Oryzias latipes: one gene and its partners. Each later gene encodes a partner of the first gene's protein in a complex. Links are inferred from orthologs where the notes say so. Each region holds a gene or a part of one and is shown in the gene's direction. Other genes may lie near its edges.

Region 1 (4,197 bases):
TGTTCTGGCCTGGGGAGCAGGAAACCAGTGAGCTGGAGAGATAGCAGAAGTTTTCATGGTTGTGTTTTCAAAATAAAAGCAAAAGCACGTGCAATTTGCAAGATTTTTCTTATGTGCATTAAACACATACTACAAAATAACTGACTTGTCAACCAAGATCAAGAAAAAAAACATGAAAACAACAAAAACAATATGAAACTACGTTGCCAACAAACACGCAAAAGAAAAATATCTTGTTAAGGAAAGATTTTAAGAAAACCCATTTTAACCATCTCATTAAAAGTGTTTTTTTTCGGGGGTGTTTTTTAACATGTTCTTGTGGCATTATTCTGATGATGGAGGACAAATATTAAGAAAATTGTGTTCAAATTGCATTTCTGAGTATTTCTTTATTTAAATGTTGGGAATCAGGAGCGTATGAAAACATATTGTTTGAAAAAGAGCGTATTTGTTACATAACAAATACGCTGGCCTGGGCACAAGCTCACCATTCCACATGAACAGAGAGCTCTCAGCAACGGGAGAGAGGAAGGAGAGGCAGGGCCGATGGTTCCTTCCACAAGTCAGAGGTTGTGTCCAAATTCCTTTACTAGTAACTACATAGTGCACTATTTAGTGCGTTCGCTATTATGTAGAGCTTTCCAAATCTACAATTCTAAAATAGTGTGCCCTAGAAATTTCCAAAATTTCTCTGCAAAAAACGAGTGTGCATTGATACTAGATTGATACTAATACATTGCATTTGAGCAATTTTTGTGAAACAAATGTATTTTAATTAATTTTGTCATAAACCAACTACATTTCATGATCAGAACACAGTGGATTCATAAATACTCTGTAAAATGCTAGTAATTTCTTAGCTTTTTACTTGTGACATCATTGATATAATTAATGTTTAAACAAATGTAGTGAGCATGATGTCCGAATTGCTTTTAAAAGTCCTATGTCGAGTGAACCAGTGTGTCTATGTCCCATAAAATGTCACAAGTTTTAATTTTTTGATAAAAATGGCTTAATGATACTTAAAAGACCACTGGAAACACTTTCAAAATGGATCTAGAGATAATTTGAGTGGGTTCTTGGAATGGTTTTATTTTGAAAAGGCCAACAGGATGTTTATACACCTTGTTAGCTTACTTTGGGAAAAACTTCCAGCCTGTATCGAAAAGTAATTTTAAAAATAATCTTTTATACATCAGAATTTTTTTTTTCTTGTTCTTTTTTTCTCCTTAATTTTTTTTAAATGTAAGGGATCACAGATGGGTTGCAGTACCACAGTTTGAACGTTAGTTGTCACTGTTCCGCTCTGTTTCGTTGAAAGTGAACGAAAATCCCAGGAGTCCTAGCGGAGACTCCTCCCACTGAGTTGTCCTGGGAAACACTAACAACTAAGAAAGTCTTGCGCGAGCGCCGCGGCTCCTCAGCGACAAGGACGGAAAAGCCCAGCGCCGGTCGTCTGTTTAACTTCTCCAAAACAAAGTTTTCTTTGAGAGAACAGGGCAGCTCGGCGTAGCTCCAAGCACAGCAGGCTGACTCTGGGAAGGATTATTATGTGTCTTAAAGGCGCTGCGCCTTCACGCTGAGCTTCTTCAGCTGCTTTAGGTAAGAAAGAGGACTCGTTTCTCTCGCTTCGCCAGTTTTTGGAGTAAAACGCACGCGGGACGTGTCGCAGTTCTGGCGTGGTTCTGCGTGTTTTTCGTGGAGAGAAAGTTGTGTTTTATAACTTGTTGCTCGGTAGCCATGACATCCTCGGTCGGAGCCTGTCCTGCAGGGCCCGTGTGGGAACTTCTCACGTTTCTGTGAGCTGAAAGGGGCGAGCAGCTACTCATCCGTCCTTAAAAGTATAAAGTGACCCCCCCACACAAAAGACTCTAAGAAACATTTTGAAGCTTATCTCAACATTTTTACATTTTGAGGTCGTTCACAACTTTTTTTTCTGCCATAATGAGATGTATAGACTTATAATTATAGGCCGTACAGTTGTGAAGATAATGACCATGCCAGTAGGGATATAATGGTTTTTGACTGGTCATACTTGAATTTATTGTTATTTTTCTAATGCATCTTGAATTAAACCACGATATATTTGCAAATATATATTTTTATTTAAAAATAAAAAAAACTTGTTATTTTTTTTCCTTTAGAGGTAAAAATCTGTGCCTAAGAGTAAATATTTAGTCTGAAAAAAATACTTGAGTATACTCAACAGACAGTGTCTTCAATCAGAGGCTTCTTCAGCCACACTACAACAACAGGCTGGAGTTTTTCCTGCCAACACTTTTCTCTCTAATAACTTCAGGCTGTGCCTCTCCTGCTATTATGTCTTTATGTTTTTAATACTGCATCACTTAAAAATTCCCTCAGGGGCTGCGGTCTCTCCATACATAGTTTACATGATGTACTCTTGCCTGGAATTAAGCCAACATTTTTGCTGCGTTGTCACTTTTTGGTTTCTGTCTCTATAAATGCCGTTCTGACATAGCAAAGCTCCTAGCAAACCAGTGCTACTGTAGATGAGAGTATATGGGCAAAGCTGTAACAATGCTTTCAAAGAGAGTTGACGAGAGGATAGGACTGAGTCTTTACTCCCCATGCAGGCAGCTATCAGAGTCACAGTGAAGATAGTGACACTGATTAAAATTGTGTTTGTTTTGTATCCATGTGACAGCTGGATCCAAAGTATGTCACATGACACTGCAGTGTCTGAGGAAATGATGTCAACTTCTAACGAAAAGGGAAAGGCCACAGTGCGTGTTTTTTAAAGTTCCACTCCACTAGGACATGGTTTTTGCAGAGTGGCTGTAGTTCATTAGAAATTTGTCTCTGAGTTGTGGACTGGACTGTTGGCAAATAGCAACCCCCCCTCCTCGCTAGCTTACAACCCCTCATGCCCCCAACCTAATATTATCGGTGCAGCAAAAATGGCGAGCAATATTGGAGATATCCAGTCATACAGACAGATACATGGTCAGACGAGGAAAACAAAGACGTACATGGGTCGAATGCAATCTTTTTCAAACTGCATTTTTTTTGTCTGCTTCTGATTCACAGTGATTTGAACAGAGAAAAACTCAGAAAAGCGATTTAAAGCTTTATCTTCTTGATATAAGTCTGACATCATTAGAAAAACCGCCACAAGAACACGCTAAAACACAATTTTAATCAGAGGGGGTCTTTAAGGAAGTTCATCTGGACGAGTTTTATAACCCGTCCTTCCTATTAGAGCTCCTGGACACACGTCAGGAAAAACAGGGGCCTGCTAATTCATTTACACCAGTTTGAGTCATCCCTTTGCAGACACTCAAAAGACCAGACACATGACACGGCGGGTTTCTGCCTTCTCATGACAGACCTCTTCCTCCTTGGCCAGTGGGCCTGTTTGGTGTGAGCCTCGTGTCAACTGTGGACTGCTCACACTGAGTCAGTCAGTCCAGGAAAAGAAGGGTCTTACATGTTTCTTGTGTCTGTGTCCCATCACTCAAATATTTATCAAAAGATTCTGTTTTTTTATTAGATCATTTTTGCCCCCAAAAGAGCGGAAGAAGGGCTAAATCTGACTGTTAGGCCAGCAGAACTGATTCTTGTGGGTTTTGTATTCATCCTTTAACAGACTCTAAAAAGCCGATGAAGTGAAAGCAGAAACTGGTCCGTTCTGACTACATCCTGAAACTTTTATTTTGCACCACGGGTGTGTTGTATTTGCAGTACCACTTCATCATCTGGGCTAAAATTGAACTTTTATGTGTCAAAGGGAAGTTTGCCTCAGTGACCTGTGATTCAATCTGGGGGCTTTACAGCCGACTCACAGGAAACGTGCGAGCTTTTAGCGGTTTGGTCGTTAGTATTTGTCAGTTAGCAGTGCGGCACTGTTTTACCTACACCCTTCCTTTTTGCAGATGGCCTGATTTATTTAAGAGAATTTGTGGGCTGCAAAACATTTCAACTGTTACCGGTCTAAACTTGTAGGATTGGTAATATCTAAACTTTCAAATTCAATTCATCCAGTTCATTTTAGTACTGAGAAATGCTACGAAGTTGAATAATTTCTCCTCTCAGATCATTTTCTCTTGTTACTTCAGCTGATTCCATTAATCAAGTGTCAGAGAGTGAGTGCAAGGCTGAGCCCCTGATCCAACTGAGGCGCAGCTCCTGGCACTGAAGCCTTTCAAAACTACAGCAGAGGTTTGGCGTTTTTAT
Region 2 (4,140 bases), about 2.0 Mb from region 1:
TATACGCAATCAATAAGTAAATCTGTGCATGATTTTTACACGATGCACACGCAGATTTGTGGCTTTCCATGTATGTCCAACAGACTTTTCCCACATGTATCACCGATGTATAACTTTTATATTATGTATACGGCACGCATATAACATTAAAATGATCGTTTTCGTTTTTTCCGGAATCCGGTTTTTTAGGAGTTTTTCCTTACCAGGAAGGGGGGTCTAAGGGCAGGGATGCCAGTATAGCTTAGTCAGTTTGTTAGTTCCTTTTAGTATTTTTCCTAATGAACTCTATGTATTCATGATCCTTTTGAGTTCATGCTTCACTTTTTCAATTCCCGATACAAAGCCCATTGAGACGACTGTTGTTGTGAATTTGGGCCATACAAATAAAATTGAATTGAATTGAATAAATTGACGCACGAGTGACTTTATACCTTATTTTTAAAGTCTCTCAAGCTGCTCTGGACTCCTGTCTGTTATTTAGATGACAGTATCCCCCCTTTAGGTTTCACACAGGATGCCTTACAGGTAGTACTCTGCATTACACTCCCCAAGGGGGAGCTGCCTGTTTCTTGGTGAGGAGCTGAAAAGAAGCTATCTTTGATTTCTTCTGCTCATTTATGTTTCCCTTCAGAACAGAGAGGCCTGATAACGAAACAATCACATGGTCAGGACGGAGCAAAAAAAAAAAAAAATTTAAAAAGCATTCATCTTCTTCCGTTAGTTCCCTTTCGGGGTCACAAGGCTGCCAGAGCCTATCCCAGCCACTTGAAAGAAATTGAAAAAGAAATTGAAAAAGCATTGCAAAATATGATTTATGTATCTCATCTTTTGATTTTACTACATTTCTATTCACCTTTTTTCACATACAGTTTGTTTGGGTTCTAAAATAAAAAAGGCACAAAAAAAACTACATAGCTGCAGAAATTCAGAAATATGTCAACCCCAATGTCAACCAGTCACAGGTTTCTCTACAAACCAGCTAGATTTTTTTATTACGCAACAGTTCCATCAAGTGGGCGCAGCATCAAACTGCAACCCTCGTCTCTGAAACCTTTCTCTCTACTTGATCATGTTCCACACAGCACAGCTTTTACATAAAAGAAAGGGAGAAATGAGCATTGTCTTTAAAGTTTTTTTAAAATATAAAGAAACCTTCACATTTCTGCTATAGAAATATGTTTACATGTGATAGAACTAAGCAGAAAATCTATGCTGCAAAATCCGCCCCAACAGGGAAGTACTTCAGACAAACTGTTTTTATTTTTTTTAACCAACATTTACTTTTGATTAAAGTTGTGCAAAACCAGTTTCACTTTCAGTTGTGGAATGAGGAAGAGGACAGACAGAGGCTCACCAACAAATGTTTCAGGACGCCCAAATGAGAGAAGGAGCCCCGATTGCTGACATTTCGTAGTGAGAGATCATATTTTAATAGCAGGTTTTCAAGTATATCTTCAGGTTTTGACAGAATGTGACTCATGTGGATGGACGCCATACAGAGATCACTAAAGAGCTGTGTTTTGTCTACCTATGGCGTCCAATGCAAACTTGTAAAGCGAGAATTGTAAAACTCGTGGATTCTTGCCATGAATGATCACATCTGTGTTTGGCAGGCTGGGGCGTTGCGAGCAGCACAAGTCCAAGATGGAATCTTGGAGCATGGAAGCTGATGCGAAAAAAGCCCGTCTGCCATGGAGCGTTTGCTGAAGCAGCGTACAGAGATTCTGCGTGCTCTCTGCAGTGGTGGGTCAGCTGAACATCTGGAAAGCATTTTGGATATACTGCTGGCTCAGGAAGAGATCACATGGGAGGACTACCAGAACGTACAGGTTACAGGAAGACCACTGAACAGCAATGCCAGAAACCTGCTTGACCTGGTTTACACAAAGGGTGCAGACACCTGTGAGCTCTTCCTCGCTGCTCTCAAACAGATTCTGCCAAAAGAGCAGGGGGCTGGTCTTTGCTTCTTAGAACACTCATCCACTTTGGATGAACTAGAAGTCACTCAGAGGACATGGACGGAGACGGTCCTGAAACGAAGACCTAGTCTGGTCTGGAAACTGCAGGGCTCCGTTCATGATGCGGTGGAAGCTCTTGTGGAGTCTGGACACTTCTCCTCTGCAGATGCTAATGAAGTGCTGCTACCTGTTTACACCCCGTCTCAGCAGGTGAGCATTTTTAGGATAACACAAATGAACAAGACTTGATTGGGTAGGCAGGCTTTAGGTATTTGCATTTTTACAACTGTTTATTAAAATATTACAATAAAGTGTTTAAATATATATTTTTTTGCTTTGGTTTAAAGTTCCTTTATTTTTCAAGAGTTTTTTTTAATTTTAGATTTTATTTATTTATTCGATACAGGGACAGCGCATATTAATAATTATTTCTGTCAATATTCATTCAATTTTTTATCTGGGTAGATGTTAAAATCACCTTACAAGATCAAAATAAAATTACATATTTACATAACATTACATACATATATTAAACCATACATTCAGTAAAATTAGTAGTTAACCTAAAATTAAATTGGCAATAAAACAATCCAAATCGGACAAATGCATAAACATATACACACACACAAGACAAGATAGTAGCGGGTAATCAGTGATAGGAAGTGTACGTAGTGTTGACAGCTCTGATTGTCAATGAGCCATTTCTTTAACTGTGTCTTAAATGATTTATATGTGATTTGATTTCTAATAGTCATGGGGGTGAAGTTCCACTCAGTAGCAGCTCTAACAGCCCACTTAAATAGTAAACCAGCAACCATTAAAGAGAGTTTCAACTGCTTTTAAAATTTGCTACATCAAATCCTGCTAACGTATGGATTAATGAGACCCTGACTTTTTGAAACTGTGTGTATGTTTTATTCTAACGTCATTTAAAAAAAAACACACAAAAGATAAAGATCAAATGGCCATAGCAGTCAAATTGACTGTTTGCTATATTTTTCTGATCTTTTTTCTGCTCCAGTGTCTTTTTGTTTTTTTAATGCTCTGTTTTTTGATGCTCTCTGCTGTGCCAAGTAGAAGAAAAAAACAACTGTAATAAAAGTTACCAGGACTTGGAAAAGGTTTGATAGGATAAATACTCCATGACATAAAAATTAAAATTAATTAAAAGAGAAATTTCATGTCCTTTCTACTTTTATAACATGATTTTTGTTTCATTTTTGTCATGGATATATACACGAATATAAAGAGAAACTAGAATTTTCCCAAAATGTGAACATATTTTTTACTTTTGAGAGAAGCTCATATAGGAGGTCAAATGACTTTCTTTTAAAACAAAGACGCTCTGTGCAGCTAATGTACTTCTTCAAACAACTCAGGGCATAAACAGTGTTTTCACTTTTTATTTTTTAGGTCGACTGTGGTGAGATATCATCTTTTTTTTCTTCCTGCTGCTGTTAACAGGAACATAAACATGACTTTACTGCATTATGATCCAGTAGAAAAAGTTCACAAAGAGTACATAAATATATGTGGGGTTTTTTTAGCAGCTCGCTTCTGTTTAAATACTAACCATTTTTGTGCAGCATGAGACAATATGTGCTTTGAACTGAACTGAGCAATTAAAGAAGGTCAAACTTTTTACCAAAGTTTTGCTTAATACTTGAAATCTGTGTATTCTGAAGGAAGCGTAGAGCGAACAAGGCCTCTTGATGTCAGCAGGGATGTAAAAAACCTTAGTTTGTATGTCTTCTAGGTGCACCTGAGCCATGAATTTATAAACTTAATTGACCAAATTCGGGTACACCGAGTGAGTGACAATGTTCTGACTCTGTTTTGGCTTACTGTGGCTGCCCTGTTTGTGTTTTAAACCCTGACACTCGCCCACAACCTTTCCCAACAACTGGTGTTCCTGGCACCACCCAACAAAAGATCAGCAGCTTAATTCTTTAGCTCGAATGAGATATGCAACTCTCTATCCGTTGCACAATTTTAAAGTACATGCCAAAGACTGTTCTCCTCTTACAGATTAAAAAAAAAACTACCCACTCCTCGACATTTCTTGTACCTAAGATTTTTCTTTAAAGCACTTTTAACCTAAAATGAGTGACTGTCAGTTTTACTCTCGTCATGTTCCTCATTTCTAAGTCACTTTGCATACAAACATCTGCAAAATCACTAA
Region 3 (4,168 bases), on another chromosome or scaffold:
GCTTCACAACATGACATGTGCTCAGATTATTATGAATTTACTCCAATCACATGGAGGACCTAATGAGGCACCAGATAATGACATATTGTTTCAAAAGCTGTTGGCTGACTATTTAAGTCTTTTATTACTGTAATTTGGGATTTTCAACAACAGTAATTGTTGCCGGATGAAGTACCTCTCATATTGGGGCAACACAGAAACCATCTCAAACTCCAGCAAACCTCGAAAAAGACAAAGATCTTATTGAAGGATGGGAATTGTGATGTTGAGTACATGATGCTTGCAAAATTCTAAATCTCAATGTTACTCATTTTCAAGTGTTTTGAATCTTTTACCAAATAATATTTGTACATATTCTTCCTTTTTTTTTTGTGCTGTAACTGGCTTATTATATTTAAGATGACTTTTGCAAATGGATGACTGTAATGATTATTTATGTGAACCCAATTCTTTTAAAAAGTATCTAAAGTTGTTGATTTTTTTGTATCACATACAATTTTTTAGATGTATTAGTGTACTGGATTAAGTTTTCTTTTTCATGTTTTGCTTTTATATAAATATGTATATATTTTTCCTTTTATTTTTTACATTTTTCTACACCAAGATGAGAGGAATTACAATATTTGAAACAATAGGAGAAAATGTAAGGAGAAAAACTAATGTCTGTCTTGGGCAAACCTTTTCTTAATGGAATAACAAAATGTGTATTTTTTCCTCCCCTTTTGAGGAAACTTGTGTAAAAATTAAAATCTCATTGTTCCTTAAACACATAAATAACAACAGGACCCAATATATTTATTAAAATTTTGCTATAAGTTTTTGTTTCCAGAATTTGTTTAATATTGCCAAAATAGTAAATGCTACAAATATTGAATTCATCTACATGGGTATAGACCAGATTGCTGTTTTGCTGATTAATAACTAATTTGTATACAATAAAAACTGGCTATCTTGCACATTAAATTAAACTATTTTTTAGGAAATCACTACTGACATTTCACTACTACATTTGCTGCATTGAAATTATCCTTTTAGACACAGGGGTGTTTTTTATTGGGAATGGACATGTTTTCATCCATGATTCAAAGTAATATGTAATTCTCAATTGACAGTTCAATTTGCAATTTGATCATGCAATATGAAAATGCCTTTTGCAATTGACGTGTTAATGACTAACTCAGGCTTGCAATATCAAAATGTGCTTCACAATTTATATTTCAAACAAGAAAAATTACAATTCAGTATTACAATTAAAAAAAATGAAATTAAAGCAAAATCAACTGCAAAACTGTCAATTGACAAAGTGCATATTACTTTGAAATATGGGAGGGGTTAAAAAAACTTCCTCTGTGGTGTGGCTCAAGTGCCATGTGGGGTTGTTCAACGTTCATCCAGCAGGGGGAGCTGTTGCCTTCAAATTGGAGGGGAACTGCAGCCGGAAAACTGCCACACAGCATAAAACAGCTTGTTGCTCAAACTATGCAACAAGCGAAACTTCACTGGGAGAGCAGAGAAAAAAAGGGAGACTCCACACGTGACTTTCCGGAACTGCAGTCGCTTTTCGAGGTCAGGCTCATGCCCGGCGTGAACGGAACCCACAACGTGCTACTCCGAAAGCCGAACCTTTACTCTATGGTGGTATGTATGTATAGAACGCGGTCTAATAAAACTATTTAGCTACATAATTCAACTCATTCATTGTATTGCTAAAGCTACGTGCGCGCGCGCGTGACGCCTGTCGTCTGAAGCTAAATATGCTTAAACCACAGTCATAATCCTGTTGTAAACAAAGCGTAACTTTTATGTTTTTGGTGTCACATTATGTTTTAATGCAGACGCAGACTTTCCGTTCAGATCTGATTACAACAACCTGAGCTTTCTGAAGTGGCCATCAGGTCTCATTGTTGAGCGTTGTTTGCTGTTAGATGATGAGAGGCAGCAACACTGACAGGAGGGGGCGGGGGGGGGCATATCCAAGTAACCCTGGTTTCTTGAGTGGTCAGACAGAATGAGGGGGGGGGGGGGGGGGGTTGCTCTCTGCAACTTAGCAAATTGCTTTGTAGCTAAGTATAGCATGAATACAAGTAAATCAGCTGAAAGCAGCGGCTCCCCTCTGCGACAATGGAGGCATTTCTTAGTGTGATGGATAGTAATCCCAATGAAGACCGAGGCTGTTGGCTTTTAAAAGCCGTAATTGCTCTGCTGTAAATGGAAAACCCAGGAACAATAACAGAGCTACAATTTCCTTTAATGATGGATCCCCCCACACACACTCCTCCTCCTTTTTTTTTTTTACTAGATGCTTTTATTTTTGCGGTGGACAAACAGGAGGTGTGATGATCAGTTGGGGTGGATTTGGTACATTTGGTGTTAGGGCCACTATGGCCTATAAATATTTTTTTCACACCAAATTTGATTTCCAATTTTAAGCATTTTTGTTCTCTTCATCAGTTTGACTTTCTTCAATCGTGTTTTTAACATTTTCTCGTAGCTTTTTTCTAATGATGGGGGACAAATTTAAGATTAAAACCGCCTTTCTTAGTATTTCTTTATTACAAATCGTTGTGAAGCAGGAGCAGATGAAAAATAATGTGTTTGGAAAAAGCTTGCAGCTCTGACATAGGTGCTACAATGGGCAGGCCTCATGCTCCACTCCATTCCGATGCATCCACCTGCAGACGATTAGATCCATGTACGTTTTCCTCGTCTGAGCTGGCATCTGGCTCAAAACTGTACAGCTGGATGGCACCGCCATTTTTTTACCCCTGTACTGTGAGCTTGCGGTTGTGAGGGACTGTAAACTAGCAGGAGAGAGTGTAAAGATGATGATGCAAATTTCTGCCGCTCTGCAGGAACTACGTCCTAGAAAACCACACAGCTTTTTTGATTTTGGCTGAAAAAGGGCAAAATCGCAGTTAAAAGAGCACTGGGAATGCTTTTACAATATATCAAAAGATAATTGTGACTTTAAACAAAAATGAAATGATGTAGTTATTAAAAACTCTTTTATTGTAACATTTACTTTGGGAGTTCAACTGAATTAAGGGGTTTAACAGTTAATTTGCACAACGATTCAATTCATATCATAGTTTTTATTTGCTAGTATGATTCATAATCGATATTGGTTCATTTTGATCGATCCAAATCACTGACCTAAAATCGATCCAGGACATCTTTCATCACCAGTGGGACTCAGAGATAAATATCTGGATACTGAACAGTGCAGCTGAAGTTTTCCAGATTCCTTGTTTTTCTTTCAAGATAATCAAAATTAAATATGAGTACAAAGAAACAAGTAAACAAGTATCAGTGGATAATCCATTCACATTTCAGTTTCCTACTGTTTTTCCACATCAAAAGAATCCAAAGGGAACATTATGAGAACATGATACCACACTCTATGATCGTAGCCAAATTCAAAGGGTTTCCACACATCGGACTGCTATGATGACTTGATCTCTTATTTTTTTTCTTTTGCGACCATCACATGCGTGATGTCACATGTGCAGTGCTTAAACCAAGCACAGCAGTAGATCCTGCAGGTCACTGCATCATATGTGTGTGCACGCATTGGCTGGAGCCTGAGCTTGTTGTCACTGATAAGGGCTGGAGGTGGAAAATGAGGAACAACTCAAAGATAAACTGACTTGTAGGATCAGGCGGGTGCAGTCGGGCTGCTGTTGCACCGACAACTTGGATGGACTTTGTTGAGTGACTTTTTTTTTCTCCCCCCCCCCTAGTGACCCCCCCCCCCCTCCTCAGAGGCTGAGTTGAAGCTGCCATTATGAGATGTCGTCTCCCAGCGTTTCTTTCGTGCAGATCAACTTCGGTGACATCCACTTCTTCGAGAACTGTGGCGGCGGCAGCTTCGGAAGCGTGTATCGAGCCAAGTGGGTCTCCCGGGACAAAGAGGTGGCGGTGAAAAAATTGCTGAAGATTGAAAACGAGGTAGGAGCCGTGATTGCTGGGGCTGTTCGTATACTTTTTTTAATTGTCAGAGTGGTAATCATTTTAATTGCTACCCTATTTTTGTTGGATGTGGCGACTTCTTTGCCCTTCACGTGTGGTCATTATAAACTCCTCCAGTCGGAAAAACGAAAAAAAAAAAACAACAACACATTATTGTTAAATGAAAGCACATACTACAGCCCCCACCCCCCCACCCATC

What was found. Proteins that work in one complex are often made in the same cells at the same time.
Region 2: akap13 (region 1) and nod2 share a complex: the UniProt entries of both Homo sapiens proteins name them as parts of the signaling complex. The link is inferred for Oryzias latipes from reciprocal best matches to the Homo sapiens genes AKAP13 and NOD2.
Region 3: akap13 (region 1) and map3k20 share a complex: the UniProt entries of both Homo sapiens proteins name them as parts of the signaling complex. The link is inferred for Oryzias latipes from reciprocal best matches to the Homo sapiens genes AKAP13 and MAP3K20.

The regions. Positions count from the first base shown.
Region 1 is NC_019861.2:32,241,859-32,246,055, reverse strand, and holds the start of akap13 (A-kinase anchor protein 13), read left to right. Parts: upstream 1-1,387; 5' UTR 1,388-1,602; intron 1,603-4,197. UniProt on the Homo sapiens protein: Scaffold protein that plays an important role in assembling signaling complexes downstream of several types of G protein-coupled receptors.
Region 2 is NC_019861.2:30,237,994-30,242,133, reverse strand, and holds the start of nod2 (nucleotide-binding oligomerization domain-containing protein 2), read left to right. Parts: upstream 1-1,333; 5' UTR 1,334-1,413; exon of another isoform or gene 1,414-1,613; 5' UTR 1,614-1,691; coding exon 1,692-2,168; intron 2,169-4,140. UniProt on the Homo sapiens protein: Pattern recognition receptor (PRR) that detects bacterial peptidoglycan fragments and other danger signals and plays an important role in gastrointestinal immunity.
Region 3 is NC_019879.2:22,146,323-22,150,490, forward strand, and holds the start of map3k20 (mitogen-activated protein kinase kinase kinase 20), read left to right. Parts: upstream 1-1,361; 5' UTR 1,362-1,638; intron 1,639-3,740; 5' UTR 3,741-3,789; coding exon 3,790-3,948; intron 3,949-4,168. UniProt on the Homo sapiens protein: Stress-activated component of a protein kinase signal transduction cascade that promotes programmed cell death in response to various stress, such as ribosomal stress, osmotic shock and ionizing radiation.